Linked DNA regions of Saccharomyces cerevisiae S288C. The gene in region 1 interacts genetically with each later gene. Each region holds a gene or a part of one and is shown on either strand. Other genes may lie near its edges.

Region 1 (8,530 bases):
AGTAAAGCATACGTCCTTCCAAATGAAAACACCTTTGGCTTCTAAATCATCAAATACTTCATCATTTGCGCCGCTACTTTCACTGGAGAATTGCTCTTTGGCATCTATATCATTGACATTGTCTGGAGATTCTTCATCTGCATGTGCGATAAATCTTTTTGATCCTTTCTTGAAGATAAGAGCATCACCACCACCTTTCACAGGCCTCTTATATTCTGTGAATATCACTTTCAAAACAACATAACCCAGTAAAAAGCACCACAAGATACCAAAGTTTCTCCACGTGTGCTTATAAACGTACTGAAATTGATTTTTAAGGTAGTCATCACCAAGCACATAAGACTGACCTGGTTTCGAACCAACAAAAGCACATACTTTGTAGTCATCGGATAAATTATCATAGTCTCCTCCACTGGGTACTAGAGTGTTAGCACAATCCATATGCCTACCGTGAAATTCGGCATTTAACATCGACTCGAAGGCGTACCTGATAGGTAGTACGTACGATATCCATTTAAACCATGGATGCATCGAAGGCAATTGGATCATATAGGTAGAGTACATTGAGATAGACATCATCAGAATACCCGAGATAGAGTTAGCTTGAGAAAGAGTGTCACATACTGAAGAAACCATCTCAAATAAACCATTGATCGCCTCTGAACACATGGTTAAGAACAAATAGATGGTAAAAAATGATCCCGCTGTTCTGTGCAACCCAGATAGGAAGAATAAAATGATAAAGAAACAGGTCAAACCAATCATTCTGAAGGGGAAAGATGCCAGAGTGGAGCCAATTGCCTCAGCTGAAGGATGATACAAAGAATAGCCCTTGTGCTTTTGTAAGATTGGCCTATGTTCAAAAGAAATATTCGCCAGTCCCATCAAAGAATAATATAGTAGCGCAAAATACAACACACCACCTCTTGAAAAAGCACCGGAAGTGGATGAAGGGGTATTGTAAAATAATGATCCAGTAATAAAAGATTGAATTATTGCAGAGCAGACATTGATGACTGTATAACTCTTGTTACCGTAAATTCTTTGGAACCCACGTTGGGTACACAGTTTAACTTGTTCCCAATATGACACTGTATAATAAGACTTCTTTCTCGTATATTTGGATTTCTCTTGAGCCATCGATTCGTCATAAACTTCTTTAGTCTTTTCGGTATTGACCTTCTCTTTATAAGCAGCGATATCTTTTTTCATTTGAGCAAACTCTGGAGAATTTAACCAATATGTTTCGAATTCCTCAGCGGTTCTTGGTACTTTATTTTCATAACCTGGCTTGATCAGATGGAATCCATTTGGATCAGTCAACGCGGTTAAAAATTCAGCTGTTGCTTGCCTTGGAGGACACAAATAACCCATTTTTGCGAAATAAGGTTTTGCCTCGTGGATCAAACCAAAATAAATTTGCTTACCAGAATAAAGGACAGTGACTTTATCAAATGTTTCGTAAATGTTTTCACTTGCCTGATAAATTGTAACAAAAGCGGTTGATTTCAATAAGTTTGTCATAATACGGATGGCTTTTGCGTATTCTAAGGCCGTAGACGCATCCAAACCTCTAGTGGCATTATCCCAACAGTAAATGGAACCTTTGGCTGCCAAAGCCTCGGCAATGGAAACACGCTTACGTTCACCACCAGATACACCTCTAACGAAATCGTTACCAACTTTGGTATTATAGGTATGCCTTAGACCGAAAATGGTTGCATATAAATCTCTTCTGGATGCAATGTATTCCTTTTTGGAAACGTTATTGACTCTGAGAGCAGGCGTTTTGCAGGCAATAGCGAAATCCAAAGTTTGCTTAACTGTTAAATAAGGGAAATGAACATCCAACTCACCATTGTAAATAACATCTGCTTTATATCGTTTCATCATTTCTTCTTGGGGAATACCATCATATGCTACTTCACCGGAAACACCACCGGCAAACTGATCTATTTCACCAGCTGTTACTTTTAAAAAGGAGGAACAACCAGCACCAGGCCTTCCAAGAACCAAAATCATTTCACCCGCTTCTGCCAGGGCATTGACATTGCTTATGATCTGTCTCATCTTTTGATGCCTCTTAGCCTTAATACCTTTAAAGATGGTCAACGGTAAACAAAGAATGTTACCAAAGGTAGCACCTTCTAGGGCACTCGCATCCACACCTTTAGCGCTTACGTCCTCTATGGTAACACCAGCCTTGCGGATATGGATGCCTTGCTCATCAGCGTCTCTTACAAAACTTTCAAAGATGGCATGGGCATCGAACCCATCGTCACTATCTGAATCCATATTAAAGGCACCGCTTCTCGTTGTATGACGGGATAGTGCATCTGCAAATGACTCCACTTTAGATACGACATCTGGCGCCATTTCAGACACAGTGGCACTAATCTGGCTCGCAGTGTCTCTTGCAGGTCCTGTCAGCATTTTTGTTAGTTTATCCGCCGGGGTATCGCTCTGCTCATCTTTGTCATGGGTTATGCCCGTAAATGATTCTTCTGAAGCTGCAAAAGAAGCGCTTGAGCTTCTAGCGACAGCATTATGAGAGCTATCTTGCGTGCTTTTGATATTGCTCATTGAATTCTCTTTACGTATTTTGGTAGCTGTGTTATTCTATCCACTTTTTTACTGCTTTCGGTCTTCGATATAGTTTTTCTTTTTTTATGTCTCTGCGGGTACGTCCGCTATACCTTCGTTTTCTCAGGGAGCTTGAACTCTAATCAATGGAAGGAGAAAATAATCAATGTTGAAGACGATGGATGCACTGAGAATGTAATGCACTGGTGATATAGTAACTCCTATATCCTACAGTGAGCTTTTTTTTTTTTGACCTCGCAACACTTCAACTTGAAAAACAAAAGATACAAATACACTAGGTTCGTATATATTGTTTTCGTTAGGTATTTATTTATCTACAAGCATATACAAGCATAAAAAGTGGTGAGGCGATAGCGGTGAGGGAGGGGCACTACTCATCATTTGTTTTATATGTTGATGTTGCGTAGTCACTATTAGTAATACCAATACCCAGCGGGGTTGCAGGGAATACAATGGAAAGACCTAAAGAAAATAGAAAACGGATTTAAACGGAAATGGGCGGACATTTAGTCATATGTGCGCGGAACCAGACGACTGGGAAAGGATCGAAAGGCATCCGCGGAAACTTAAAATAGCTCCGCGGATGCTAGATTTCTACGAGTCATACATAGTCTGGCGTGAAGGTAATTTTTTTTTATGTCTCCGTTCTTTTCCAAATGGGGTGATCCGTGGAGGGCGGTGCTTCTTTCGCGCCACTTCCTTGCCGTGGAAAAATGTGTACGGTTACCATGGTCACATAACCTCTGTGTGCGGAGCCACTCTGACTCGCATCAACCGGGCTATGGTTGCATCGGATGCTGGAATGGGTTCTATTGGACTCACCAACTTGTTTCTTTATAGAGTGTAAGAGGTATGAGTAAACTTTTAATATTTAAAGGTTGTTCCAAGAAGGTGTTTAGTGTTATTGTTCGTACAAACAAGTACCCAAGGCAGGCTTCGAAACTATAATTGCGTCTTTTAGTTCTTCATCTGTGAGATCCGGATATCTTACATTGTAGAATTTTTCGATTAGTGCTTTTCGTACCTGTTCCACGTTCCCATTAGCGCCACTAGGAACAAGGTGGATAGTGCAACCGCCCCAACCAGCGCCAGTGAGACGGGAGCCGAAAGAACCATTTGCTAGGGCAATCGAGCATATTTGATTGGTTTCTATGCACGAACATTCATAAAGTTTATCACAAGAGGCCTGGGACTCATTCATTAGTCGGCCAAAATCTGTAAAGAAATCTTCGTCCGTGTGAAAAGTGGCACTTGTCATCATTTTTAAAGCCTTAAGCACCCTTAAGGATTCGGAGTAAACGTGTTTAGCTCTTTGATATAGTTTCAAGACTTGGAAGCGGACGGGAAAAGTTGTCAGGTAATCTCTAGTGAACTCCTCACGTGAACAGTTTAGCGCCGTAGAGGCTTCATGTACAGTGAATCCGCTCTTTTTCCTCGAGAAAGATTCTTCTACCAATTGTAGCATCTTGAGTAAACGTTCAATACCAGTTCCGATATCTCCATTCCATGGTTGGGCTTGGTTTTCGTATCTGGCGTAGTAAGCATCCATAAAATCTCTTAGATTCCCTCTTTCTGAGTTAGAATTGTCCTTGTGAGATGGTAAGGCCACGCTGTATCTGGTCGCCAAGGCGTTGGCAGCAACTGTTACCTCTATTACTCTTAAATTGTAATTTGTAGGAGCAGTTTCGAATTTATTAGACTTTACAAGAGTATTGGCGATGACGAAACTGATTTCATGATTTTTCAATTGAGGAAACTTGAAAGGTGTGGCCTTTAGTTTTGGCCTAAACTCTACGTATAGAGCATGATCTTCTTCCCCATAAACAGACGTTGCTTGATCCATACCACCATTATTGACTCCAACATAGTGCTCAGCAACCGCTGTGATGCGGGTCAAGTCTTTTTTGGAAATATCAAAATTTTTTCCCATATTGGCTCTAATTGTGGCTAGTGCTGCCGCGCAAGTAAATGCAGATGAGAGTCCACCACCAGTAGGAATATCGCTCTGGCAAAAGATCTGCGCACCTACTAAGGGTGTATTATTAAATCTTTCCGGAGCAATTTTTTTCAAGTATGAATGTGCCACATGTAGTCCGCATTTAAAGTAATTCGACCATTCCGACACAGACGGATCTATGGCCATGTAGGAACCATCTAAAGGCAGATCAAACTTTCGCTGAGCAAATTTAGGGTCCGCATTTGTTAAGGTAATGGATGGATTTTTTTCGTCTAAAATTTTAACTGCGCAAAGCATATCCACATCAATGGCTAATGGCAAAACTGAAAAATCGCAATAATCTATATGCTCACCAATCAGATTTACTCTGCCAGGAGACCTAGCGATAAAATCAGGTTTGACATGGTATGTTTGGAAAAATGCATCTACAACCGCTAAATGTTTTTGTTCGAAAGACCTTGGTAAATCTCTGACCGGAGAACTGAATATTGGAACGTTTGTATTCATACTATGTGTTGCCCTACCTTTTTACTTTTATTTTCTCTTTTTGCACTCCTGATTCCGCTAATAGGAAGTATGAATACCTGGGGTTGTCAATGTGGTAACAAAGGTGTTGCCTCACTTGTCGCTTATGATGATTATATACGTTTCAGTAAAAATTTTACTGCCTATGTGTTGCAGGCGGTCAATCAATTGCATAAAAGACCGTGTGATGGCTTGGCATGGCGATTTCATTCTTTCAAGAATTCCACATGTTAAAATAGTGAAGGAGCATGTTCGGCACACAGTGGACCGAACGTGGGGTAAGTGCACTAGGGTCCGGTTAAACGGATCTCGCATTGATGAGGCAACGCTAATTATCAACATATAGATTGTTATCTATCTGCATGAACACGAAATCTTTACTTGACGACTTGAGGCTGATGGTGTTTATGCAAAGAAACCACTGTGTTTAATATGTGTCACTGTTTGATATTACTGTCAGCGTAGAAGATAATAGTAAAAGCGGTTAATAAGTGTATTTGAGATAAGTGTGATAAAGTTTTTACAGCGAAAAGACGATAAATACAAGAAAATGATTACGAGGATACGGAGAGAGGTATGTACATGTGTATTTATATACTAAGCTGCCGGCGGTTGTTTGCAAGACCGAGAAAAGGCTAGCAAGAATCGGGTCATTGTAGCGTATGCGCCTGTGAACATTCTCTTCAACAAGTTTGATTCCATTGCGGTGAAATGGTAAAAGTCAACCCCCTGCGATGTATATTTTCCTGTACAATCAATCAAAAAGCCAAATGATTTAGCATTATCTTTACATCTTGTTATTTTACAGATTTTATGTTTAGATCTTTTATGCTTGCTTTTCAAAAGGCCTGCAGGCAAGTGCACAAACAATACTTAAATAAATACTACTCAGTAATAACCTATTTCTTAGCATTTTTGACGAAATTTGCTATTTTGTTAGAGTCTTTTACACCATTTGTCTCCACACCTCCGCTTACATCAACACCAATAACGCCATTTAATCTAAGCGCATCACCAACATTTTCTGGCGTCAGTCCACCAGCTAACATAAAATGTAAGCTTTCGGGGCTCTCTTGCCTTCCAACCCAGTCAGAAATCGAGTTCCAATCCAAAAGTTCACCTGTCCCACCTGCTTCTGAATCAAACAAGGGAATAAACGAATGAGGTTTCTGTGAAGCTGCACTGAGTAGTATGTTGCAGTCTTTTGGAAATACGAGTCTTTTAATAACTGGCAAACCGAGGAACTCTTGGTATTCTTGCCACGACTCATCTCCATGCAGTTGGACGATATCAATGCCGTAATCATTGACCAGAGCCAAAACATCCTCCTTAGGTTGATTACGAAACACGCCAACCAAGTATTTCGGAGTGCCTGAACTATTTTTATATGCTTTTACAAGACTTGAAATTTTCCTTGCAATAACCGGGTCAATTGTTCTCTTTCTATTGGGCACACATATAATACCCAGCAAGTCAGCATCGGAATCTAGAGCACATTCTGCGGCCTCTGTGCTCTGCAAGCCGCAAACTTTCACCAATGGACCAGAACTACCTGTGAAATTAATAACAGACATACTCCAAGCTGCCTTTGTGTGCTTAATCACGTATACTCACGTGCTCAATAGTCACCAATGCCCTCCCTCTTGGCCCTCTCCTTTTCTTTTTTCGACCGAATTCTTAATCGGCAAAAAAAGAAAAGCTCCGGATCAAGATTGTACGTAAGGTGACAAGCTATTTTTCAATAAAGAATATCTTCCACTACTGCCATCTGGCGTCATAACTGCAAAGTACACATATATTACGATGCTGTTCTATTAAATGCTTCCTATATTATATATATAGTAATGTCGTTAACCGTTGATTTTTACTGATTGGTCTCTGCCGTGCGGGTGAGCGGCGCGTCCAGACGGGCGGGTGCACGTTTCTTTTTCTGACCATTTCCCTGTCAGCTCTTTTAGATCGGGGCTGCCGTTTGAAAAGTTTTATCATCGCCAGACATGCCATAAGGAATATCTCCACCGCCTCTAACTGTCCCTAACTCGGTCTCTTTCTTATAACTACCATTACTCAGTGTTGAGAGATTGGTAGAAATATACGCGTATACGTTCATTCAAGACTTATTTTCAGCCAGTAATATTCCCTACTCCTCTTCCGTTTTCAGAATAGAGATGGACCAGCCAAGGACCCATTCAGGACCCACGACGGCCAGCAATCCTGCCCCCAGCTCCACCAACTCGTCATCTGCTCCCAGCGCGACTAATTCAAAGCAGGAAAGATCCTCTTCGTCACTGTCCAAACCTTCGTCAGTGGTTCCTTCAAAGGATTCACCAGATGGTGACGCTATTGCTAAGACTCAAGCAGCCGCTTTAAAAAACGACATGAAATCTGGTGATACCAGTACATTAGATGGGTCATCTCAAAATATAATTCCAAACAGAGCCTCAATGCAAAAATATATTGACCAGTCATCAGATCTGCTGTCGAGGAGCTCCGGCGTAATAACGCCCTCCATGTCTTTGAATGCAAGCACTAACGCCACTAACAACGATAGCAGTGGCAATTCAGCTAATAGTAGTGATTTGAAGATCCCTATAGACAGGGACAATACTATATTCAAGACGTTCGACACCAAGACTGGTCAATTCTTGAAAAACGATGATAATGAAGAAGAAATAAGGAGGAACAATAAAGTTGATTCGATACCCCCAAAGAATATTTATACTAATATCAACAATCCATCTCCCTCCCCACCACCGTCGTCAAAGCAACCACCGTCTGCATCCGCGCCGCAATTGCCACCAGCAACGGAACCACACAAAGAACAAGCAGCACAACAACAGCCACCAGGAAATGCTTCTAACTTTTTAAGGATCTTTTCAAATAAAAAAATGAGGTCGCATTCCGTACCCACTATTTTGCATTCTTCTTTAAGAAAATTATCATCCCACAATCAATACTATCGTAATCAAAATATTCTTTTAAATCATCCAACTCCTTCCGGCATATCAAAGAAAAAATTTTCTAGAAACCATCATCAACCATATTTGCATTCTAATAATCCTCTCAGTTCAAACCCTCTTTCATTAAAGCGCGCAATTTTTTTAAATCAACAAATATCAGGTAACGCAAGCACTAACGCTAATAATGACAACATTAATAATTCCACTGCCACTTCAATGACAAATCAAAGCTTCCTATCAAGCTCAAACTTTGACTTAACTTTGGAAGATAGAATAAACTACATAAAGGCTACTCCAACGCCTGTTCCATTTCCTCCTATAAATTTGCAGGGCTTAAAAGAGATTGACTTACAGGAAATTCTGAAAAACCCACAACTAAGACATGATATAATATTCGACCCGCTACTACAATTCAGGCCAAATCTTGATGGCGAAAGAGGGAATAAAAAAAGACAATTGGCGAATATCTATTGGAATGATGTTC
Region 2 (7,221 bases), on another chromosome or scaffold:
ATCAGACCACATTTGATAAAGTACATACCTCTGTTAACTCCCGTAATACACCCATATTCTTGTACTTTCTACAATCTATCACTCAAACTTCTCTATTATCCAACATCTGCTGTTGCATAGTAAAGTAGGCCGTAAACGCTCAAAACCGTTATCTTTAGGTTACCCTTATGTTTGAATCGTTTATCTCACATTGGCGGTGTTTTCCCCTCTCCTGTGGGCTCCAAAATCTTGGCCGTGGGAAGCTTCAGCGAGGGATTGTAGATGTAGTTTCAACACGTCGGCTGATTTATCCCGATTTTGTTAGTAGAAAAGGTTCTACTTCATTCTTGCTTGAGACGTCGTCCCATCAAATTTCTAACATAGTCTTTTTTCAAGGAAGGATATTTTTCAAAGCAGGACTGCAATTAGTCTTTTCCTTTTCTTTACTCCCCTTCCATCATAACTGTTAGTGAATAACCACTTATATAGCATAACACAATGGATCAAGAAACAATAGACACTGACTACGACGTGATTGTCTTAGGTACCGGTATTACCGAATGTATCTTATCTGGTTTACTCTCTGTAGATGGAAAAAAGGTATTACATATTGACAAGCAAGACCATTATGGTGGCGAAGCTGCTTCTGTGACCTTATCTCAATTGTATGAAAAATTTAAACAAAATCCGATCAGTAAAGAGGAACGGGAGTCCAAGTTTGGTAAAGATAGAGATTGGAATGTCGACTTAATTCCTAAATTCCTGATGGCCAATGGTGAGCTGACAAATATTTTAATACATACCGATGTGACCAGATATGTCGATTTCAAGCAAGTTTCTGGCTCCTACGTTTTTAAGCAAGGCAAAATTTACAAAGTGCCAGCTAATGAAATAGAAGCCATTTCATCGCCATTGATGGGTATTTTTGAAAAACGTAGAATGAAGAAATTTTTAGAATGGATTAGCTCTTACAAAGAAGATGACTTGTCCACTCATCAAGGATTAGACTTAGACAAGAATACCATGGATGAAGTGTATTATAAATTTGGGTTAGGCAATTCTACCAAAGAATTCATCGGTCATGCAATGGCTTTATGGACCAATGATGACTACTTACAACAACCTGCTAGGCCATCGTTTGAGAGGATTTTGTTATATTGCCAAAGTGTTGCCCGTTACGGTAAATCACCTTATTTGTATCCTATGTATGGGTTAGGCGAACTTCCACAAGGATTTGCTCGTTTGTCGGCTATTTACGGTGGTACTTACATGCTAGACACTCCAATTGATGAAGTATTGTATAAAAAAGACACAGGAAAATTTGAAGGGGTCAAGACTAAGCTGGGAACTTTCAAGGCCCCATTGGTTATTGCTGATCCAACTTATTTTCCCGAAAAATGTAAATCTACTGGTCAAAGAGTTATTAGAGCCATCTGTATTCTTAACCATCCAGTTCCGAACACCAGTAACGCGGATTCTTTACAAATTATTATCCCACAAAGCCAACTGGGAAGGAAAAGCGATATATACGTTGCGATTGTTTCAGATGCGCATAACGTTTGCTCCAAGGGTCACTATTTAGCAATTATTTCTACAATCATTGAAACTGATAAACCACATATAGAATTAGAGCCTGCTTTCAAACTTCTGGGACCAATCGAAGAAAAATTCATGGGAATTGCCGAATTATTTGAACCAAGAGAAGACGGCTCTAAGGATAACATTTACTTATCCAGATCATACGACGCATCCTCTCATTTCGAATCCATGACTGACGATGTTAAAGATATTTACTTCAGAGTAACAGGCCACCCATTAGTTCTAAAACAAAGACAAGAACAAGAAAAGCAGTAAATTCATACCTTTACGACTAAAGCAGCAATTGGAGGGTAAACTTATTTTTTCCGATAATGTTCTTGGCAAATGAGTTACCAATAAATGACATGAATTACAGAAAACAAGAAAATATTTGCCAAAAAAAAACCAATACAAAAATATAGGGGAAAAGATTATCCTTTATTCCTTTCTCATTCCACTTTTTTTTTTTGTTATATGCGTATTCTGATTGATTCATAACTAAGTATCTTTCCTTTTCTTTTCTTTCAATTTCTTTTTTCCATATATAAATACATAAATTTACATACCTTATGTAGTATAATATATGGAAGAATGCTACTGAACACATCAGTACACATGCTATGTACTTACAATCTTAGTAAGGTAGATGTAGGTCTAATGCTTCGATGATCCCTTCATTATTTCTTGGGTATAACTGTCAGTCTCGCACCGCAGTGTGCCCTTGTGTGGCCAGCCTCGTGACAAAATGAACATTTTATCTTATTTTTTTTCTTTTTACTACTCTTTTTGCTGGTTACTCCCTGAATAGTGCTCGTAGTTTTATCTGCCTCTTCCTTGGCTTTAATCGGTATCAGGGCATATTTTTGATCGTCTTTTTCCATGATCTCTATTCCATTCCGCAGTACCATGTCAAGAACACTAGTATTCATCATACTTCCCACAGTGCTTTCATGCAATCCCAGTAGTAGGTTAATGAATTTCTCTAATTCTTTCAACTTATGCTCGTACTCAACTTGTAATTGTGATCCATCTTTTTGCTTTGAAATGATCAACTTAGCCAGGACATCCATAGCTTGTGACAATCTGACTATATCATTTTCAGTCTTATTTGATGATTCACACATTCCTTGTTATAACAACCCTCGGTATTCTTTTAACAAACTTACGATGACTATATTGTATTAGTGTCAACCTCATCGCCAGGAACTTTTCATTGAAAATCTTCTGACAAATTTTCTGTGTAAAGGAAAGAAAATGGAGTATAAAATCGAAAGTTTATTCCAATTGTGCTAGGCTGTAATGGCTTTCTGGTGGGATGGGATACGTTGAGAATTCTGGCCGAGGAACAAATCCTTCCTCGCGGCTAGACACGGATTGCACGCCCTTTGGGCAAGGGATAGTTCTCTATTCCGCACCGTGCCCTGTTGTGGCAACCGTCTTTCCTCCGTCGTAAATTTGTCCTGGGCAGAGCTGTCTGCCCGGAGGCGGGAGAGTCCGTTCTGAAGTGTCCCGGCTATAATAAATCGATCTTTGCGGGCAGCCCGTTGGCAGGAGGCGTGAGGAATCCGTCTCTCTGTCTGGTGCGGCAAGGTAGTTCTGGGTCCTTAGGGGCTCCACCTTCACCGCTGTTAGGGGAGTTTTATCCAGCGTCAGCAAAGGTGACCCGTGATGGAGGCGGCCGGGATAGCACATATCAGTCGGATAATTGTGCAAGTTGATCGCTTCGGCGGTTTAATTTGGCGGTGCCATCAGGATTTACTCGCACATTGTGGCCGTTCCCTCGGGGATGGAGTGTGTCCTGAACCATATTTTTTAACATTTTTTTGAACTAATTAACCGTCCCAATGAGGGATGTTGGAAGAGTAAGTTGATTTAATGTCCTATTCTTGTTCTTTTCGAATATAAATGACGATTGGAAGGTGCATGTCAATGTTTATCATCATGTTCTTGTTGTAGGTAGTCCTTACCTTGGTTGTAGAGTGAGTAGCGACAGGCGGCAGCGGAATATAAGAAGGATAAAATGAGAATACTTAGAACGTGTTGAAAGAAGAATAAACGATCATCCATCGACTAGTACTGCTGCTACTAGTGTGCTGTCATACTACTAATATATTATCATATACAATATAAGAAGATGTCATAAACATTGAAAATAGTCATCAAATCTAATGGAAGCTGAAATTCAAGGGTTGATAATGTAATAAAATAAAGAATGACAAAGTATAAAAGGAAGAAGATAGAGTAACATTATTATGTAGAGCTATCAATTCGCTTTTTGTAGATTCCTATTTTTTCTCGAGGAGAATTGCAGCATATTCGTTCCACGTAATATTGCGGCCTTTAACAACAATGTAATTCCAACAATTATCTTAAAATTTGTCTATATTTTTAAAAAAGTATGAACAATTACCAACATGTGGTACATATTGGAGGCCCGCAAAGCTGAGTTGGCATTCATTCATTCTTTAAGTTGAACAAAAAGACAAAAAGATTTTCAAAAAAAATATGGTCTCTAGCGGGATCGAACCGCTGATCCCCGCGTTATTAGCACGGTGCCTTAACCAACTGGGCCAAGAGACCAAATTTTAATGAAATACTTTTACTGGAAAGAAGGTAACAAACCATGGAAGATGCTTTTCTACCACCCATGAAAGTCTGAGATTTTTATTAATGATGTTGGAATAAAAATCAACTATCATCTTGAGAAATGGGTGAATAATTAGATAATTGTTGGGATTCCATTGTTGATAAAGGCTATAATATTAGGTATACAGAATATACTAGAAGTTCTCCTCGAGGATATAGGAATCCTCAAAATGGAATCTATATTTCTACATACTAATATTACGATTATTCCTCATTCCGTTTTATATGTTTATATTCATTGATCCTATTACATTATCAATCCTTGCGTTTCAGCTTCCACTAATTTAGATGACTATTTCTCATCATTTGCGTCATCTTCTAACACCGTATATGATAATATACTAGTAATGTAAATACTAGTTAGTAGATGATAGTTGATTTCTATTCCAACATACCACCCATAATGTAATAGATCTAATGAATCCATTTGTTAGTTAATAGTTTAAATGTTTTTATCGGAAGAGGTTTTGTCATCACATCAGCAATGTTCTTCTTGGTCTCGATGTAGTATACGTATAAATTATTACCTGATACTTCATCTCTAAGTCTCATTGCCTTTGTGCCAAAAAATCTGTTTCTAAATTTCTCTTCATTTGTAGACTTAATTATACTGATCGTTGATCTACTATCAGTAAGTAAGCCTTTAATAATTGGTTTCTTGTTAAGTTCTTGTATCAGGTAACTTAGATTATTTAATAATGGGACAGATTCACTTATCGCGTGTATTTCTGCTTCCGTAGTTGAAGTACATGTTAATGAAGCCTTGGTGGACTTTCCTCCAATTACCTTTCCATTAAGTAAATATATGTTGCCAATTTGTGATTTATAATACGGTTGGTTGCCATACGAAGCATCACTTATTGCGACTAGTTTATTATCTGGCTCGGTAGGTTTGTTTTTGTGCCATATCAGTTGTTTATCTCTAGTGTCCCACATGAATTGTATCAACTCATATGTCATGTCTAAAACTTGCCTAGAGGGGAATAGTATATGTTGAGCAAGTGTGTTGATGTAGTATAGTAAGTCAAATCTAAATTTATATCCAACATATGAAGCTAGACCAATCAACTTTTGCATTTCATGTACCTTCTCTTTGTATTCATCTTCATCTATTTCTAGTTCATCCTGGTCTATATAAAGACCTGGTTGACCTGGAGCGCTAAGTTTTCTTCCTTTTGGATTCAAAGGTACGTTTAATTTGGGTATTTTCTCAGTTAATGAGTTTTCCATACCTAATTTCATGTATTTACCTCTTTGATATTTGATTTCTAAGCCAAGTATGTCGTACTGAATTTCGTTATCACTTTCACCCAGATTTATTATCTTTGTATCGTATTGTTTCTTGAGTGTTGTTATGATTTTCTTATTTGCATTTAAGTCTTTGCTGAATAAAATCATGTCGTCAACAAATAAACATATTGTTACTTGACTATTCTTAAATACGCATGACCATCCACGAACTTCTTCCATACCACACTGTTTTATCAGGTATGATTTGATAGTTTCGTACCAGTTCGCTCCACTTTGTTTCAATCCATAAAGTGATTTCTTCAAACGTATCAACTTATCATTCATTCCTAAATGTGGTGGAGGTCTTATGTATAATTCTTCTTTGATGTCTGCATACAAATATGCCGAAGATATGTCTAATTGTGTAATATAGTAGTTATTGTCTAATGCAAGTGACAGGGATGTCATTAATGCATAGTGATGTACGGTATTGGATTGCATGCCTGAGTCGTAAGTGTCAGGATGCTGAATATCACCTCTTGCAACAAATCTAGCTTTATGAGTACCGTCACGTTTCTTGTTGAAGATAAACATTGAGTTTATTACTCTTTTAGGGTCTATTTCTTTTCTGTCATAATATTCGTCAGTGTCCCAAGTTTTCATCTTCAACAGTTGATTGACTTCTTTGTGGTATGCCTCGATATATTTTTCTTTTTCTTTAATATCTTTATTATAGGTGATTGCCTCATCGTATCGTAAGGTTGTCCGTATTGGTTTGATTGATTTTACTGCTTTTACAGCTGCAATCAGGTGAATTCGTTTCTTCGATCTCGGAGGTTCTAAACTACGCATATTCTTAGTATTCCATGTGTCTCGTGATACCTTAATTTCAGTTTCATTATCTTCTAATGATCTTTTCTTACTGTTGATAGTAGTATAGGCATTAGAGTCACCAATACCACCCAAACTGGAATTAGTTTGATGAGAATTTATCGGTGGGAGTTCTTTAAATGGGTCAGGGAATTCGGTAGGAGATTCTGGAGGTAGATCAGGGAGTGGGAGATCAGCGATGATAGATTCCTCGGTATTCTGTTCAGAAACAGTAGTTGGCGTTTTGATAGGAACAATATTGTGCGATGAATTATTTTCCGGTGGAGAAGCATCGATTGAAGGTGAACGGTGTATAATCCTTTTCTCAGTCTCTTGGTCACTTATCTGCGGAACAGTTTTGTTGTTGGTACCACCCGTACTGGATATTGGTACGTTTGTATGATTAGTCTCATTTTCACTGTACGAGTCTGAGTGTCTGAAATCTTTAGATTTACTGGCGTGCGACGACTCATGTGTGTTAGATTGGGACATGGGAGCAAGTAAAGGAACATTTAATTTATGCATACCACCCGAACCGGTACTCTCGATATTGGAAATTTGGGGGGTGCTAGATCTCTTCTTTGATGGAAGAATATTAGATTCAGATATGTTGGGGTCAACTTCTCTGGGTGCGCGAATATTGGTTTTAGAAACACGTTTCGAATCTTCAGTATGAGTTGACGGAGGTGTGGAATCGGTTGGACTCACAGCTTTTGAAAGGACATTTCTCGGTTGCTCAGGATGTAGTTCGATGTCAGATTGGAAGTCATGGTCAGATTCTATGTTAAGATCATCGGATTGTTGGATCTCATTTGACGCAATGAACGATTGATATGAAGCAGTTAAACGGTTTAAGTCTTCATCGAAAGTGAGTGCGTCGTAATTGAATTGATCTAATCTGGATTCCTTGCCCTGAAG
Region 3 (8,084 bases), on another chromosome or scaffold:
CCCCTTGAAGTTCTATTTTCTACCCCATCATTGTCTTGAAATCTTAATACGGCAGCTTCTAAGAAAGCGTAAACGGCACAAGTGCATTGTAAGAGGGTAGCTGAATATATCCTGCCAGCGAACGAAAGGCACGTCACCACGGATGGTAAAAGCAACAAGAATCCCAAAGTGCAGAGCCAGTGGAAAGATTTCGACCCAGCCTGCACAATTTCTGGCCTCGTGTATCCCGAAGTATCATCCATGCCCATATCATGCTCCATATCACCGCAGACTTTTTCAAAGAAAAAGCATATTAGTAGAATTGCGCTAATGGATCTGGAAAATCCGAAGACAATATTCTTATTAGCTGCTGTCATTCCTTCTAGGCAGGTAAGGTTTATTCGACCTATTTTTTGTTTTGTCTGCCGTTTTAAAGTTATTCAGCTGTGGTCTTAAATATGCATTAATTGGACCCTCCCCTTTTATGTGCTTGATATATCGGTTCGGAGTTTTCATTTTATTCGCGGGTGCAAACAATGCAAAGTACATCATAGGGATTTCAAACGGAAGGAATAGGATATTAATGTTTGTTTATATATCATATACACATATACGTATACGTATGAGAGAGTATTATAATCTATAAGAAAAAAATGCTATTTTGTAATTTGAAGCTTTCTGTACATATCGAATCACGATCGTCCGGAAGATGGAGGAACATCAGGCTGTAATTCTTGTAATTTATTGGAAGCAGATTCTGCGTTGGCGTCATTTGGGAACTTTTGCTTTATAGGGTCACTAAATGGATTTTCGTTTGTTAGTACACTATCAATTGTATGTTCAGCATCACCGTTTTCTGATGAAGACAAACTTGCAAGATGGTCTTCATCGGACAAATCAAAATCGAAGTCCTCAACCTCTTCGGGCTCAGTAATTCCGGAAGTTCCATTGTCCAAAGTAGAATCGTACTCAGAGTCTGTATCAATGATATCGAATTCATACGTTTCCGCTCTTGACCTTCTGATCCTTCTCCTTGATTTCATAAAAAACATGAAGTATAACACCAAAAATGTGGCGCCAATCAAAAATATTGTTAAAAAATAATGCATGGCTTGCCTAGGAGAGGAAAGTTTTTTAGGAGTGTTTGGATCAGAATCAGGATCGGTACTCGCAGTAGTCGTTTGGGGAATGGCCGACGTTTCCACACCAATTGAGATAGAAGATGTAGAAGTAGCGCTGATGGAAATAGAAGTTGAACTGGCAGAATATTGTGATACGGTACTTTCTGTAGCAGCTGGTTCAACCTCCTCTTTATCGTTTCCAAAGACGAAAGTTTCTGTTTTAGATGAATCAATGGATTCCCCAAAGAGCTTCAGCCTCCAACTGTGGAAGTCAATCCTGTGTCCATTTTCTGTTGTCTTAACCTTGATTTTCCAATCACCTACGCCGTTCTCACCCCAATGTGCTACAGACATGAATGTCCAGTCTTTGAATCCCTCTGATGAAACATCTCTTGGTCTTACAACGCCAAGGTTTGAAATTATCCCCGCTGGTGATATTAAATCGACAGTCGTAGTTCCCCTAATTTCTGTATCAATATCTACAGTTACCGTGACGTGCTCAATTCTCTTGAAGTTAGCATCTTGAAGACTTTTTTCTGATATGGTTATGACGGATTCTAATGTCTCTTCCGTGGAGTTTGTGGACTGGGAAACATACAATGTTGGCAGGTAAAACCAGGTTTGTGCGTTAACATTCTCCCAGGTCTTGGACATTTCAATTAACTTATGGGCATCGATTTTACCAAAGCCATAGCGATGAGAGTATTTCTTCCCCATGGCGCTATCTCTCCAATCTCCGTCAGCGTTCTTTTCTAACCCTACCGCAGACAAGATTGATAAATACTGTACGTCTCTCCAAGTTAGGTTTGGGTTGGCTTCTAGTAACAAAGTGTAAACACCGGCAGCTAATGGAGCAGCCGCAGACGTTCCACCGTGGCTATTACTGCATCTGCCGTTGATATCACTCGAATGAATATATTCGCCTGAACCTGAAGAATACGTGACTGCCATGACGGCGGAACAACCTTCGGAATAAGGAGGATGTAGATCTTTGTGATCAATAGCCCCAATAGTAATAGAATATATGGAATTAGTATAGCCGTCGTAATTGCAATTATCACCACGAGTTCCACCATTTCCACTGGCAAAAACGTAAATCGCTCCTTTGGAATCTCTTCCCTCAGTAACACCTTTTACTAAAGCCTTTTTCACCAGGTCACTAGGGCCTTGTAAATGTCTTCCGTCATCAGCGGGACCCCATGAGCATGAATATATATCGTTTACGTCTAGACCATAAATCAAGGACGCAGCTTCATCTTCCGTAGTGATATCACCGGATAAGATTCTTATGCCTGAGATTTTAGCGTTGTAACCTACCCCGACACCGCAAAAATTGTTACCTTTTTTGGCAGCTATTTCACCTGCACATCTCGTACCATGGTAGTCATCAGATAATCTTGGTTTAGGTAAATTGGTATTGTCGTTGAAATCCCAAGAACCTTCAGCGCAAAAATTATCCTTCAAGTCTTCATTTTCGTAGTCAAGGCCATCATCAACAATGGCAGCCACGACCCCTGCGCCTGTAATATTATTGTACCACAGATCAAGAACATTTATATCACTGCCAGGAAAACTTGGATTGACCAAGTGCCACTGCCTCTCAAAAAGCGGATCATTTATGCTGAGTTTATCCTCAGCTTCTTTTACCGGTAACAAGCTTGAGTCCATTGGTGGAGCAGGCACCGGTAGTCTCTTAAATAGGTCGTTACGCGGGAATAAATCATGGACAGATAATATGTGGTCGTTGTTATCCCCCTGTAACTCTTCTAATGATGATCTTTTGCCCAATTTTAGCAACTCTTTTGAAAAAACATAATGGTTTGGTAGCCCTCGAACATCATGTTCATATTTCCAATTTGGATGCATTTCCTCCAAGCGGGATAATGTTTCATTGCTTTCTACAGCAAAATACTGTCGTGACGTATGGTCCTTCAATGGAATTTGTTGTGATGATACAAGAGCGGATGTTGAAAAGGCCCACCAAAAGCATAAAGTAATATATTTCCTCACTTTCATCTGATAATGGGTTAGTAGTTTATAATTATGTGACGAGGCCAAAAAACAACGGGATTAGTTTATCCTTAGTATGGTAGCCGAATGAATGAAATATGTGGAATAGATTTCTCTTTTACAAAACGGGATGTTTAAGCCAGGAAAAAGAACAGGCTTATGACAGAATTATGCATATGAAACGAGAGAAAGAACACGTCCAGCAAATATGGAGTACCTTGTTTGCCTTTAGAAAATGTTTCGGTTTCAATACTGTTCTCTTCAGCGATGCTGTTGAAGTATCAGCTCAGTTATTTAATATGCTAACCTTTCCTTTGTTTGTTTTCTTTTTCTATCTTTATTTTTTTTCCATTTACCGTTTTTTGCGTTTCAGAAAATGACCCTCATTGATTATATGAATAATAATATACACGTTATCATTTTTTATTTCTTTTATGTATGTATAGTAAAAATAAAACATGTCGAGATACGTGTATCTACATCAGAGCTGCTGAAACTATTTATTTGGCCAAAGCACCCATTGGGTCCCAGATGGGCAAGACAATCGGCTCTTCCTTACCTGAGGTGAATTTTGAAGCCAGCTCTTTTGGCAATTCATTGATATCGACCACAATTTGAAAGCAGTACTCCTCGAAGTACTTTTGAGTCATCACGTATAATCCGTCTTTACCGGAGTCTTTACCCCAGGAATTTTCAACGCGGTAGCGAAGTGGTAATTTAGACGTTTCATCGACGTGGCAGCCAGTGATCAACATAGCATGAGTCATCAAACTTTCATGGTATCTAATACGCGATGCCTTTTGCTGAGGTAAATTATAGCCGATGGCAGGATAGTTCCACAATTCAATATCCATGACACCAGTTTTCTTGTCCATGAACTTTGGAGTGTGAGATCCAAAAAAGACAGCTTTGTTATTTTGTAATCTCTTAACAACCAATTTAGATAGTGTTTCATTGTCAACATTTAAGTAAATCACGGCATCTCCGCCAAGGACGTTTCCTAAACGATCGATCTTAATTAATTTACCATATGGGTGTCTTGGATCATTGATCAATGAGACTGGCGTGGAAGGGTCCAATTTTGCGTATTTGGAGGCAAATTCTAACGGAGTCGATTTGATAGTGTGGATTTTCTTGTCTTTGTCAACGTATTCCCAAGTGAATTGCTCGTTTGGTTGCACTGGAGGTATGTCCATGAACAACGACATCAACCTGAAGATTTCTCTTTGCATTTGCTCTCTCAGAGTGACAATTATGGAATCATCGGCAGAACGCTCTTTCAAAGCTGTTCTTAGAGTCTCGGCAAATTCTCTCAGTTTAGTAGTCAACAGAGAATTCCATTTTCTGGACGCAGTAGTAGAATAAGGTAGATCCCCGTATAAATCTTTGGGGATAAGGCCATACTTCTTGACTAGGTTCAAAAACATGCTGTATTGGCCACCGTCTTCTGTTGGAGCTGCTAACAAGTATTGCACGAGACGTGAGTCGATGTCTTGATCAGCCGAGGAGACGATTTGGTCCAAGAAATAGTTGGCCTTTTCCAACTTATCGTAAAAGAACAAGTAAGCTTGGGACAGTTCGAATTCTTTTAAGTTCAATTCAGAAAGAACATTCAAGCGCAGTTGATTGGTAGCGGCAAACAACCAACATCTACCAGAGCTTTTTTGGTTGGTGACTGGAGTGGAATCAGTAGAGACAACAGTGTTGAAAACCCTGTTATCTTGCTTTTGCAGTCTAGTCTTGTTCAACAGTGCATCATCGGCATTATAATTCTTAAGGACAGTGGTTGCCAATTGATGGGTTAAGTCGGATTGAAACTCTTTGTTCCAAGAGTTGATCTTACTGATATCGATGGAAGAGGACATTCTTTTTAAAACAATTTGTGGTGCTCGTAAAAGGTGGCTTCTAAACGTCTTGAGATACAAGGACCGGGAAACAGAAGTAGGAAGCATGTAACAAAAGAGCAAGGGCTATTTATCGTTTATTTATGGGTGCCCGTCGGCGACTTGTCAGCCGGCGTTATCAATTGATTACCACATGCAACCCCATTGATTAAGAGAGCAGGTGACTTTCTGGTGGGAGGGGAAAAAAGGATGTGTCACTCACTACCCGGCGATTGCATGCTATTTGACACATACTAAAGCAAAATAACATATGTAGCATAATCAATAAAGCGACTATTTTCTAAATTTCAAAAAGCACTGAATATACGATGCCTCTTCACAGGATTAAGAGACAAAATTTGCCTGTTTGTAAAGCATATTGCCTGCCTTTCCGCTAGTTTTTTCTTTTCCACTTCCTATTTTCTTTTTTTACCAGTTTTCCCTGCTCATCGCATGAAGAAAAAAATGATAAAAGCGTTTTATGGTGATGACTAAGAAACTTGTCTTGTCAGCTGGAAAGATAAGAGAGGGAGCTTCCTTTTCCTGAGTGACAAGATAAGTGTACAAGAAAGCATGAGTGCTCTACTGTCCGAGTCTGACCTAAACGATTTTATCAGTCCCGCCCTTGCGTGCGTCAAACCTACCCAGGTGAGCGGGGGCAAGAAGGATAACGTTAACATGAACGGAGAATACGAGGTGAGCACGGAACCAGACCAACTGGAGAAGGTCTCTATTACCCTATCAGACTGCCTCGCGTGTTCTGGTTGTATAACGTCTAGTGAAGAAATCTTGTTGAGTAGCCAAAGTCACTCGGTTTTCCTGAAAAACTGGGGGAAGCTTTCGCAGCAGCAAGACAAATTCCTCGTTGTGAGTGTCTCGCCACAATGCAGACTATCTCTTGCGCAGTACTACGGCTTAACATTGGAGGCGGCCGATTTGTGTTTGATGAATTTTTTCCAAAAGCATTTCCAGTGCAAGTATATGGTTGGAACGGAGATGGGCAGAATCATATCGATTAGCAAAACCGTAGAGAAGATCATTGCGCATAAGAAACAAAAAGAAAATACCGGTGCGGACCGCAAGCCTCTATTATCTGCTGTGTGTCCGGGATTTCTTATATACACGGAAAAGACCAAACCGCAGTTGGTGCCTATGCTGCTCAATGTCAAGTCGCCTCAGCAAATTACGGGCTCGTTGATCAGAGCTACGTTCGAGAGTCTCGCTATCGCGCGTGAGTCCTTTTACCATCTGTCGCTGATGCCATGTTTTGACAAGAAACTAGAAGCGTCAAGGCCAGAATCGCTTGACGATGGGATTGACTGTGTCATTACGCCACGTGAAATAGTGACAATGTTACAAGAGTTGAATTTAGACTTCAAGTCGTTTCTTACTGAGGACACAAGTTTATATGGGCGGCTATCACCGCCGGGATGGGACCCGCGAGTCCACTGGGCGTCGAATCTGGGAGGCACTTGTGGTGGCTATGCCTACCAGTACGTAACGGCTGTCCAACGACTACACCCAGGAAGTCAGATGATAGTTCTGGAGGGTAGAAACAGCGACATTGTCGAGTACCGATTGCTGCACGATGATCGCATAATAGCCGCCGCCAGCGAGCTTTCCGGGTTTAGAAACATCCAAAATCTGGTGCGTAAACTGACCTCGGGCTCCGGGTCAGAGCGCAAGAGGAACATCACCGCTCTGCGGAAGAGACGAACAGGTCCAAAGGCGAACTCACGCGAGATGGCGGCCGCCACGGCCGCCACGGCCGATCCCTACCACTCGGACTACATCGAGGTAAACGCGTGTCCGGGTGCATGCATGAACGGTGGTGGCCTACTCAATGGCGAGCAAAACAGTCTCAAGCGGAAGCAGTTGGTTCAGACACTGAATAAGCGTCACGGAGAGGAGCTAGCAATGGTAGATCCTCTAACCCTGGGACCCAAGCTAGAAGAGGCGGCAGCCCGCCCGCTTTCGCTAGAGTACGTCTTCGCGCCCGTCAAGCAGGCCGTCGAAAAGGATCTCGTCTCTGTTGGGAGCACCTGGTAAGTAAGGTGTAGTTTTGCACCCGTGTACATAAGCGTGAAATCACCACAAACTGTGTGTATCAAGTACATAGTGACATTTAAATAATAGCAAGAACAACAATAATAGTAGCGCTACTGGAAGCACCACGTAATAGTGGAAAAGAACTGGAAAAACCGCTATAAGATGCATACTCCGGCGGTCTTACGCGGAGATACAAGCTTCCAACGGTGCTAAAAGCCCGGTTTCGGCTCGGCCGGAGGAGGAAGAGAGACGAAAAAAAAAAAAATGACTAAAAAAAAAATGGAATATTATTAATGTGGGATTTTTGGCTCAAGGTGTGGTGGCCCCTTTTCTAAGGGTGGCGAATTCTTCAATGTACGGAAAACTCGCCAAGGCTATCCCATATATAAGCAAACTGTGGGTTCATCTATATACCGACACATAACACCTAAAGTGGCTTCCTCCTGCCCCTCTCTCCCTTTTCTCCACTCACCCCTCCTTCTCCCCCTTCCCCCTCTCCAATTGGCTGTATAGACAGAAAGAGTAAATCCAATAGAATAGAAAACCACATAAGGCAAGATGAGTGAAGGCCCCGTCAAATTCGAAAAAAATACCGTCATATCTGTCTTTGGTGCGTCAGGTGATCTGGCAAAGAAGAAGACTTTTCCCGCCTTATTTGGGCTTTTCAGAGAAGGTTACCTTGATCCATCTACCAAGATCTTCGGTTATGCCCGGTCCAAATTGTCCATGGAGGAGGACCTGAAGTCCCGTGTCCTACCCCACTTGAAAAAACCTCACGGTGAAGCCGATGACTCTAAGGTCGAACAGTTCTTCAAGATGGTCAGCTACATTTCGGGAAATTACGACACAGATGAAGGCTTCGACGAATTAAGAACGCAGATCGAGAAATTCGAGAAAAGTGCCAACGTCGATGTCCCACACCGTCTCTTCTATCTGGCCTTGCCGCCAAGCGTTTTTTTGACGGTGGCCAAGCAGATCAAGAGTCGTGTGTACGCAGAGAATGGCATCACCCGTGTAATCGTAGAGAAACCTTTCGGCCACG
Region 4 (7,995 bases), on another chromosome or scaffold:
AAATCTCTTAGATTACCTTTATTCGTGCTCGATCCTTCTTTTCCAGAAAGTAAAACAACACCGTACGTGGCAGCTAAAACATTTGCAGCTGTAGTGACTTCTACCACTCTTAAATTATAGTTGGTTGGGGCGGTTTCAAACTTGTTAGATACAACAAGGGTGTTCGCAATAACAAAGCTAATTTCATGGTTTTTTAATTGCGGAAATTTAAACGGAGTAGCCTTCAACTGCGGTTTGAACTCAACGTATAGAGCATGATCTTCCTCACCGCAAACAGAGGCAGCCTGATCCATACCGCCATTGTTAACACCAACATAATGTTCTGCAACGACCGTAATACGCATTAAATTTTGCTTGGACATATGATAACCAGGGCCCATATTCGCTTTAACAACAGCTAAAGCAACGGCACAAATGAATGCGGCCGAAGAAGACAATCCACTGCCAGTTGGTACATCACCCTCACAGAAGACTTGCAGCCCGGCCAGAGGAGCACTGGCAAACCTTTCCGGTGCAAGTTTCTTTAGAAAAGAGTGAGCAACATGGAGACCACATTTAAAGTAATTAGACCAGTCCGACACAGAAGGATCAATTGTGACATAAGAACCGTCCAACGGCAAATCGAACTTCCTTTGAGCAAATTTGGGATCAGCATTTATTAAGGTAATGGATGGATTTTTCTCGTTCAAAACTTTGACGGCGCAAAGCATATCAAAATCAATAGCTAAAGGTAAAACCGAGAAGTCACAATAATCAATATGTTCACCAATTAGATTGACTCTACCAGGCGATCTAGCAACAAAATCCGGTTTAGCATCATAAGCGCTTATAAATTTCTTAATTATGCTCGGGCACTTTTCGGCCAATGGTCTTGGTAATTCCTTTGCGCTAGAATTGAACTCAGGTACAATCACTTCTTCTGAATGAGATTTAGTCATTATAGTTTTTTCTCCTTGACGTTAAAGTATAGAGGTATATTAACAATTTTTTGTTGATACTTTTATGACATTTGAATAAGAAGTAATACAAACTGAAAATGTTGAAAGTATTAGTTAAAGTGGTTATGCAGCTTTTCCATTTATATATCTGTTAATAGATCAAAAATCATCGCTTCGCTGATTAATTACCCCAGAAATAAGGCTAAAAAACTAATCGCATTATCATCCTATGGTTGTTAATTTGATTCGTTAATTTGAAGGTTTGTGGGGCCAGGTTACTGCCAATTTTTCCTCTTCATAACCATAAAAGCTAGTATTGTAGAATCTTTATTGTTCGGAGCAGTGCGGCGCGAGGCACATCTGCGTTTCAGGAACGCGACCGGTGAAGACGAGGACGCACGGAGGAGAGTCTTCCGTCGGAGGGCTGTCGCCCGCTCGGCGGCTTCTAATCCGTACTTCAATATAGCAATGAGCAGTTAAGCGTATTACTGAAAGTTCCAAAGAGAAGGTTTTTTTAGGCTAAGATAATGGGGCTCTTTACATTTCCACAACATATAAGTAAGATTAGATATGGATATGTATATGGTGGTAATGCCATGTAATATGATTATTAAACTTCTTTGCGTCCATCCAAAAAAAAAGTAAGAATTTTTGAAAATTCAATATAAATGACAGCTCAGTTACAAAGTGAAAGTACTTCTAAAATTGTTTTGGTTACAGGTGGTGCTGGATACATTGGTTCACACACTGTGGTAGAGCTAATTGAGAATGGATATGACTGTGTTGTTGCTGATAACCTGTCGAATTCAACTTATGATTCTGTAGCCAGGTTAGAGGTCTTGACCAAGCATCACATTCCCTTCTATGAGGTTGATTTGTGTGACCGAAAAGGTCTGGAAAAGGTTTTCAAAGAATATAAAATTGATTCGGTAATTCACTTTGCTGGTTTAAAGGCTGTAGGTGAATCTACACAAATCCCGCTGAGATACTATCACAATAACATTTTGGGAACTGTCGTTTTATTAGAGTTAATGCAACAATACAACGTTTCCAAATTTGTTTTTTCATCTTCTGCTACTGTCTATGGTGATGCTACGAGATTCCCAAATATGATTCCTATCCCAGAAGAATGTCCCTTAGGGCCTACTAATCCGTATGGTCATACGAAATACGCCATTGAGAATATCTTGAATGATCTTTACAATAGCGACAAAAAAAGTTGGAAGTTTGCTATCTTGCGTTATTTTAACCCAATTGGCGCACATCCCTCTGGATTAATCGGAGAAGATCCGCTAGGTATACCAAACAATTTGTTGCCATATATGGCTCAAGTAGCTGTTGGTAGGCGCGAGAAGCTTTACATCTTCGGAGACGATTATGATTCCAGAGATGGTACCCCGATCAGGGATTATATCCACGTAGTTGATCTAGCAAAAGGTCATATTGCAGCCCTGCAATACCTAGAGGCCTACAATGAAAATGAAGGTTTGTGTCGTGAGTGGAACTTGGGTTCCGGTAAAGGTTCTACAGTTTTTGAAGTTTATCATGCATTCTGCAAAGCTTCTGGTATTGATCTTCCATACAAAGTTACGGGCAGAAGAGCAGGTGATGTTTTGAACTTGACGGCTAAACCAGATAGGGCCAAACGCGAACTGAAATGGCAGACCGAGTTGCAGGTTGAAGACTCCTGCAAGGATTTATGGAAATGGACTACTGAGAATCCTTTTGGTTACCAGTTAAGGGGTGTCGAGGCCAGATTTTCCGCTGAAGATATGCGTTATGACGCAAGATTTGTGACTATTGGTGCCGGCACCAGATTTCAAGCCACGTTTGCCAATTTGGGCGCCAGCATTGTTGACCTGAAAGTGAACGGACAATCAGTTGTTCTTGGCTATGAAAATGAGGAAGGGTATTTGAATCCTGATAGTGCTTATATAGGCGCCACGATCGGCAGGTATGCTAATCGTATTTCGAAGGGTAAGTTTAGTTTATGCAACAAAGACTATCAGTTAACCGTTAATAACGGCGTTAATGCGAATCATAGTAGTATCGGTTCTTTCCACAGAAAAAGATTTTTGGGACCCATCATTCAAAATCCTTCAAAGGATGTTTTTACCGCCGAGTACATGCTGATAGATAATGAGAAGGACACCGAATTTCCAGGTGATCTATTGGTAACCATACAGTATACTGTGAACGTTGCCCAAAAAAGTTTGGAAATGGTATATAAAGGTAAATTGACTGCTGGTGAAGCGACGCCAATAAATTTAACAAATCATAGTTATTTCAATCTGAACAAGCCATATGGAGACACTATTGAGGGTACGGAGATTATGGTGCGTTCAAAAAAATCTGTTGATGTCGACAAAAACATGATTCCTACGGGTAATATCGTCGATAGAGAAATTGCTACCTTTAACTCTACAAAGCCAACGGTCTTAGGCCCCAAAAATCCCCAGTTTGATTGTTGTTTTGTGGTGGATGAAAATGCTAAGCCAAGTCAAATCAATACTCTAAACAATGAATTGACGCTTATTGTCAAGGCTTTTCATCCCGATTCCAATATTACATTAGAAGTTTTAAGTACAGAGCCAACTTATCAATTTTATACCGGTGATTTCTTGTCTGCTGGTTACGAAGCAAGACAAGGTTTTGCAATTGAGCCTGGTAGATACATTGATGCTATCAATCAAGAGAACTGGAAAGATTGTGTAACCTTGAAAAACGGTGAAACTTACGGGTCCAAGATTGTCTACAGATTTTCCTGATTTGCCAGCTTACTATCCTTCTTGAAAATATGCACTCTATATCTTTTAGTTCTTAATTGCAACACATAGATTTGCTGTATAACGAATTTTATGCTATTTTTTAAATTTGGAGTTCAGTGATAAAAGTGTCACAGCGAATTTCCTCACATGTAGGGACCGAATTGTTTACAAGTTCTCTGTACCACCATGGAGACATCAAAAATTGAAAATCTATGGAAAGATATGGACGGTAGCAACAAGAATATAGCACGAGCCGCGGAGTTCATTTCGTTACTTTTGATATCACTCACAACTATTGCGAAGCGCTTCAGTGAAAAAATCATAAGGAAAAGTTGTAAATATTATTGGTAGTATTCGTTTGGTAAAGTAGAGGGGGTAATTTTTCCCCTTTATTTTGTTCATACATTCTTAAATTGCTTTGCCTCTCCTTTTGGAAAGCTATACTTCGGAGCACTGTTGAGCGAAGGCTCATTAGATATATTTTCTGTCATTTTCCTTAACCCAAAAATAAGGGAAAGGGTCCAAAAAGCGCTCGGACAACTGTTGACCGTGATCCGAAGGACTGGCTATACAGTGTTCACAAAATAGCCAAGCTGAAAATAATGTGTAGCTATGTTCAGTTAGTTTGGCTAGCAAAGATATAAAAGCAGGTCGGAAATATTTATGGGCATTATTATGCAGAGCATCAACATGATAAAAAAAAACAGTTGAATATTCCCTCAAAAATGACTGCTGAAGAATTTGATTTTTCTAGCCATTCCCATAGACGTTACAATCCACTAACCGATTCATGGATCTTAGTTTCTCCACACAGAGCTAAAAGACCTTGGTTAGGTCAACAGGAGGCTGCTTACAAGCCCACAGCTCCATTGTATGATCCAAAATGCTATCTATGTCCTGGTAACAAAAGAGCTACTGGTAACCTAAACCCAAGATATGAATCAACGTATATTTTCCCCAATGATTATGCTGCCGTTAGGCTCGATCAACCTATTTTACCACAGAATGATTCCAATGAGGATAATCTTAAAAATAGGCTGCTTAAAGTGCAATCTGTGAGAGGCAATTGTTTCGTCATATGTTTTAGCCCCAATCATAATCTAACCATTCCACAAATGAAACAATCAGATCTGGTTCATATTGTTAATTCTTGGCAAGCATTGACTGACGATCTCTCCAGAGAAGCAAGAGAAAATCATAAGCCTTTCAAATATGTCCAAATATTTGAAAACAAAGGTACAGCCATGGGTTGTTCCAACTTACATCCACATGGCCAAGCTTGGTGCTTAGAATCCATCCCTAGTGAAGTTTCGCAAGAATTGAAATCTTTTGATAAATATAAACGTGAACACAATACTGATTTGTTTGCCGATTACGTCAAATTAGAATCAAGAGAGAAGTCAAGAGTCGTAGTGGAGAATGAATCCTTTATTGTTGTTGTTCCATACTGGGCCATCTGGCCATTTGAGACCTTGGTCATTTCAAAGAAGAAGCTTGCCTCAATTAGCCAATTTAACCAAATGGTGAAGGAGGACCTCGCCTCGATTTTAAAGCAACTAACTATTAAGTATGATAATTTATTTGAAACGAGTTTCCCATACTCAATGGGTATCCATCAGGCTCCTTTGAATGCGACTGGTGATGAATTGAGTAATAGTTGGTTTCACATGCATTTCTACCCACCTTTACTGAGATCAGCTACTGTTCGGAAATTCTTGGTTGGTTTTGAATTGTTAGGTGAGCCTCAAAGAGATTTAACTTCGGAACAAGCTGCTGAAAAACTAAGAAATTTAGATGGTCAGATTCATTATCTACAAAGACTGTAAAAAGAAAGTGGAATATTCATTCATATCATATTTTTTCTATTAACTGCCTGGTTTCTTTTAAATTTTTTATTGGTTGTCGACTTGAACGGAGTGACAATATATATATATATATATTTAATAATGACATCATTATCTGTAAATCTGATTCTTAATGCTATTCTAGTTATGTAAGAGTGGTCCTTTCCATAAAAAAAAAAAAAAAGAAAAAAGAATTTTAGGAATACAATGCAGCTTGTAAGTAAAATCTGGAATATTCATATCGCCACAACTTCTTATGCTTATAAAAGCACTAATGCCTGAATTTATGTTGAAAATATGTGTCACAAATAAAGAAACTGTGACATCTGACACATTTCCACTTTATTGACAAGAATAGAATTTCTTTAAGTTTCCCCTCTAGATTATTTATTTTCAAATTTTAGGCTCTGTTGAAGTTTATTACGTAGAAATTCCTACGATAGTTATTAGTCCTAATTGGATGTTGCAGCAAGGCTCATTGTCGGTGTCGTTATCGATGGAAATCCTGCACCTATGTTATTACCCTCTTTTCGTAGTTTTCTGATCCGGGTTATAGAGTTTTGCTTAAAAAAAGGTTATGTTTAAAAGTATGAAAAACTTTTCAGTATTAATTATGCAGAAGAGCAGTGAATAGTAATAATACATATCAGAATATTCCGCAGTCTTTGGTTTTCAGAATTGTTAGCAGTAGTTAAGTGAATAAAGATGGCATCGACATGGAAGCCCGCCGAAGACTATGTGTTGCAACTAGCAACTCTTTTACAGAACTGTATGTCACCAAATCCAGAGATTCGTAATAACGCAATGGAAGCTATGGAGAACTTCCAGCTGCAACCTGAATTTCTCAATTATTTGTGTTATATTTTAATTGAAGGCGAATCTGATGATGTATTGAAGCAACACTACTCCCTACAGGATCTTCAGAACAATAGAGCTACCGCCGGTATGCTGTTGAAAAATTCAATGCTAGGGGGAAACAATTTAATTAAGAGCAATAGCCACGACTTAGGATACGTCAAATCAAACATTATACATGGCCTTTATAATTCGAACAATAATCTCGTTTCGAACGTGACAGGTATCGTTATTACTACTTTATTTTCCACTTACTATAGGCAGCATAGAGATGATCCAACTGGTCTTCAAATGCTTTACCAGTTGCTAGAGCTAACCTCAAATGGAAATGAGCCAAGTATTAAGGCTTTATCTAAGATCATGGAAGACAGCGCTCAATTTTTCCAATTGGAATGGTCGGGAAATACGAAGCCTATGGAAGCCTTATTGGATAGTTTTTTTAGGTTTATTTCGAATCCAAATTTCTCACCTGTGATTCGCTCAGAATCGGTGAAATGTATAAATACAGTGATCCCGCTACAAACACAAAGTTTTATTGTGAGATTAGATAAATTCTTAGAAATTATTTTTCAGTTGGCACAAAACGACGAAAACGACCTAGTTAGGGCACAGATTTGCATTAGTTTTAGTTTCTTATTGGAATTCAGACCAGATAAGCTGGTTTCCCATTTAGATGGTATTGTACAATTCATGTTGCATTTGATCACCACTGTAAATGAGGAAAAAGTGGCTATTGAAGCCTGCGAGTTTTTGCACGCCTTTGCAACGAGCCCAAATATTCCTGAACATATCTTACAACCATATGTTAAGGATATCGTGCCAATATTATTATCGAAAATGGTCTATAACGAAGAATCCATCGTTCTCCTGGAAGCTTCTAATGATGATGATGCATTCTTGGAGGATAAAGATGAGGACATCAAGCCCATTGCACCCCGTATTGTGAAAAAGAAAGAGGCAGGAAATGGAGAGGATGCAGATGACAACGAAGATGATGATGATGATGATGATGATGAAGATGGCGATGTTGATACGCAATGGAATTTGAGAAAATGTTCCGCGGCAACGCTAGATGTAATGACGAATATTTTACCTCATCAAGTGATGGATATAGCGTTCCCATTTTTAAGAGAACATTTGGGTTCTGATAGGTGGTTTATTAGAGAAGCTACTATATTAGCACTGGGGGCCATGGCAGAAGGTGGAATGAAGTATTTTAATGATGGCTTACCAGCACTAATACCATTTTTAGTGGAACAATTGAACGATAAGTGGGCACCAGTGAGGAAAATGACATGTTGGACATTAAGTAGGTTTTCACCATGGATATTACAAGACCATACTGAGTTTTTAATTCCAGTCTTAGAACCTATAATAAACACATTAATGGACAAGAAAAAGGATGTTCAAGAGGCGGCTATTAGTAGTGTAGCAGTATTTATTGAAAACGCCGACTCCGAATTGGTTGAAACTTTATTTTATAGTCAATTATTGACGAGTTTTGATAAATGTTTGAAATATTACAAGAAAAAGAATTTAATTATATTATATGATGCCATCGGCAGGTTTGCTGAAAAATGTGCATTAGAC

Evidence for each region.
Region 2: mutations in GAL3 (region 1) and YER137C together harm fitness more than expected from each alone (negative genetic interaction), as found in Saccharomyces cerevisiae (2 studies listed by BioGRID).
Region 3: mutations in GAL3 (region 1) and LAP3 together harm fitness more than expected from each alone (negative genetic interaction), as found in Saccharomyces cerevisiae (one study listed by BioGRID).
Region 4: of GAL3 (region 1) and GAL7, changing one enhances a phenotype caused by changing the other (phenotypic enhancement), as found in Saccharomyces cerevisiae (2 studies listed by BioGRID, with this or other methods).

The regions. Positions count from the first base shown.
Region 1 is NC_001136.10:459,972-468,501, reverse strand, and holds GAL3 (transcriptional regulator GAL3), read right to left. Parts: upstream 5,069-8,530; coding exon 3,506-5,068; downstream 1-3,505. Other genes in the region: ATP-binding cassette transporter SNQ2, read right to left, coding at 1-2,583; YDR010C (uncharacterized protein), read left to right, coding at 3,119-3,451; phosphoribosylanthranilate isomerase TRP1, read right to left, coding at 5,986-6,660; SOK1 (Sok1p), read left to right, coding at 7,255-8,530.
Region 2 is NC_001137.3:439,139-446,359, forward strand, and holds YER137C (uncharacterized protein), read right to left. Parts: upstream 2,682-7,221; coding exon 2,235-2,681; downstream 1-2,234. Other genes in the region: GDI1 (Gdi1p), read left to right, coding at 478-1,833.
Region 3 is NC_001146.8:197,460-205,543, reverse strand, and holds LAP3 (bleomycin hydrolase), read right to left. Parts: upstream 4,976-8,084; coding exon 3,611-4,975; downstream 1-3,610. Other genes in the region: YTP1 (Ytp1p), read right to left, coding at 1-356; kexin KEX2, read right to left, coding at 672-3,116; iron-sulfur cluster assembly protein NAR1, read left to right, coding at 5,567-7,042; ZWF1 (glucose-6-phosphate dehydrogenase), read left to right, coding at 7,601-8,084. UniProt on the Saccharomyces cerevisiae protein: The normal physiological role of the enzyme is unknown, but it is not essential for the viability of yeast cells. Has aminopeptidase activity, shortening substrate peptides sequentially by 1 amino acid.
Region 4 is NC_001134.8:271,964-279,958, reverse strand, and holds GAL7 (UDP-glucose:hexose-1-phosphate uridylyltransferase), read left to right. Parts: upstream 1-4,431; coding exon 4,432-5,532; downstream 5,533-7,995. Other genes in the region: GAL1 (galactokinase), read right to left, coding at 1-938; GAL10 (bifunctional UDP-glucose 4-epimerase/aldose 1-epimerase), read left to right, coding at 1,607-3,706; KAP104 (Kap104p), read left to right, coding at 6,256-7,995.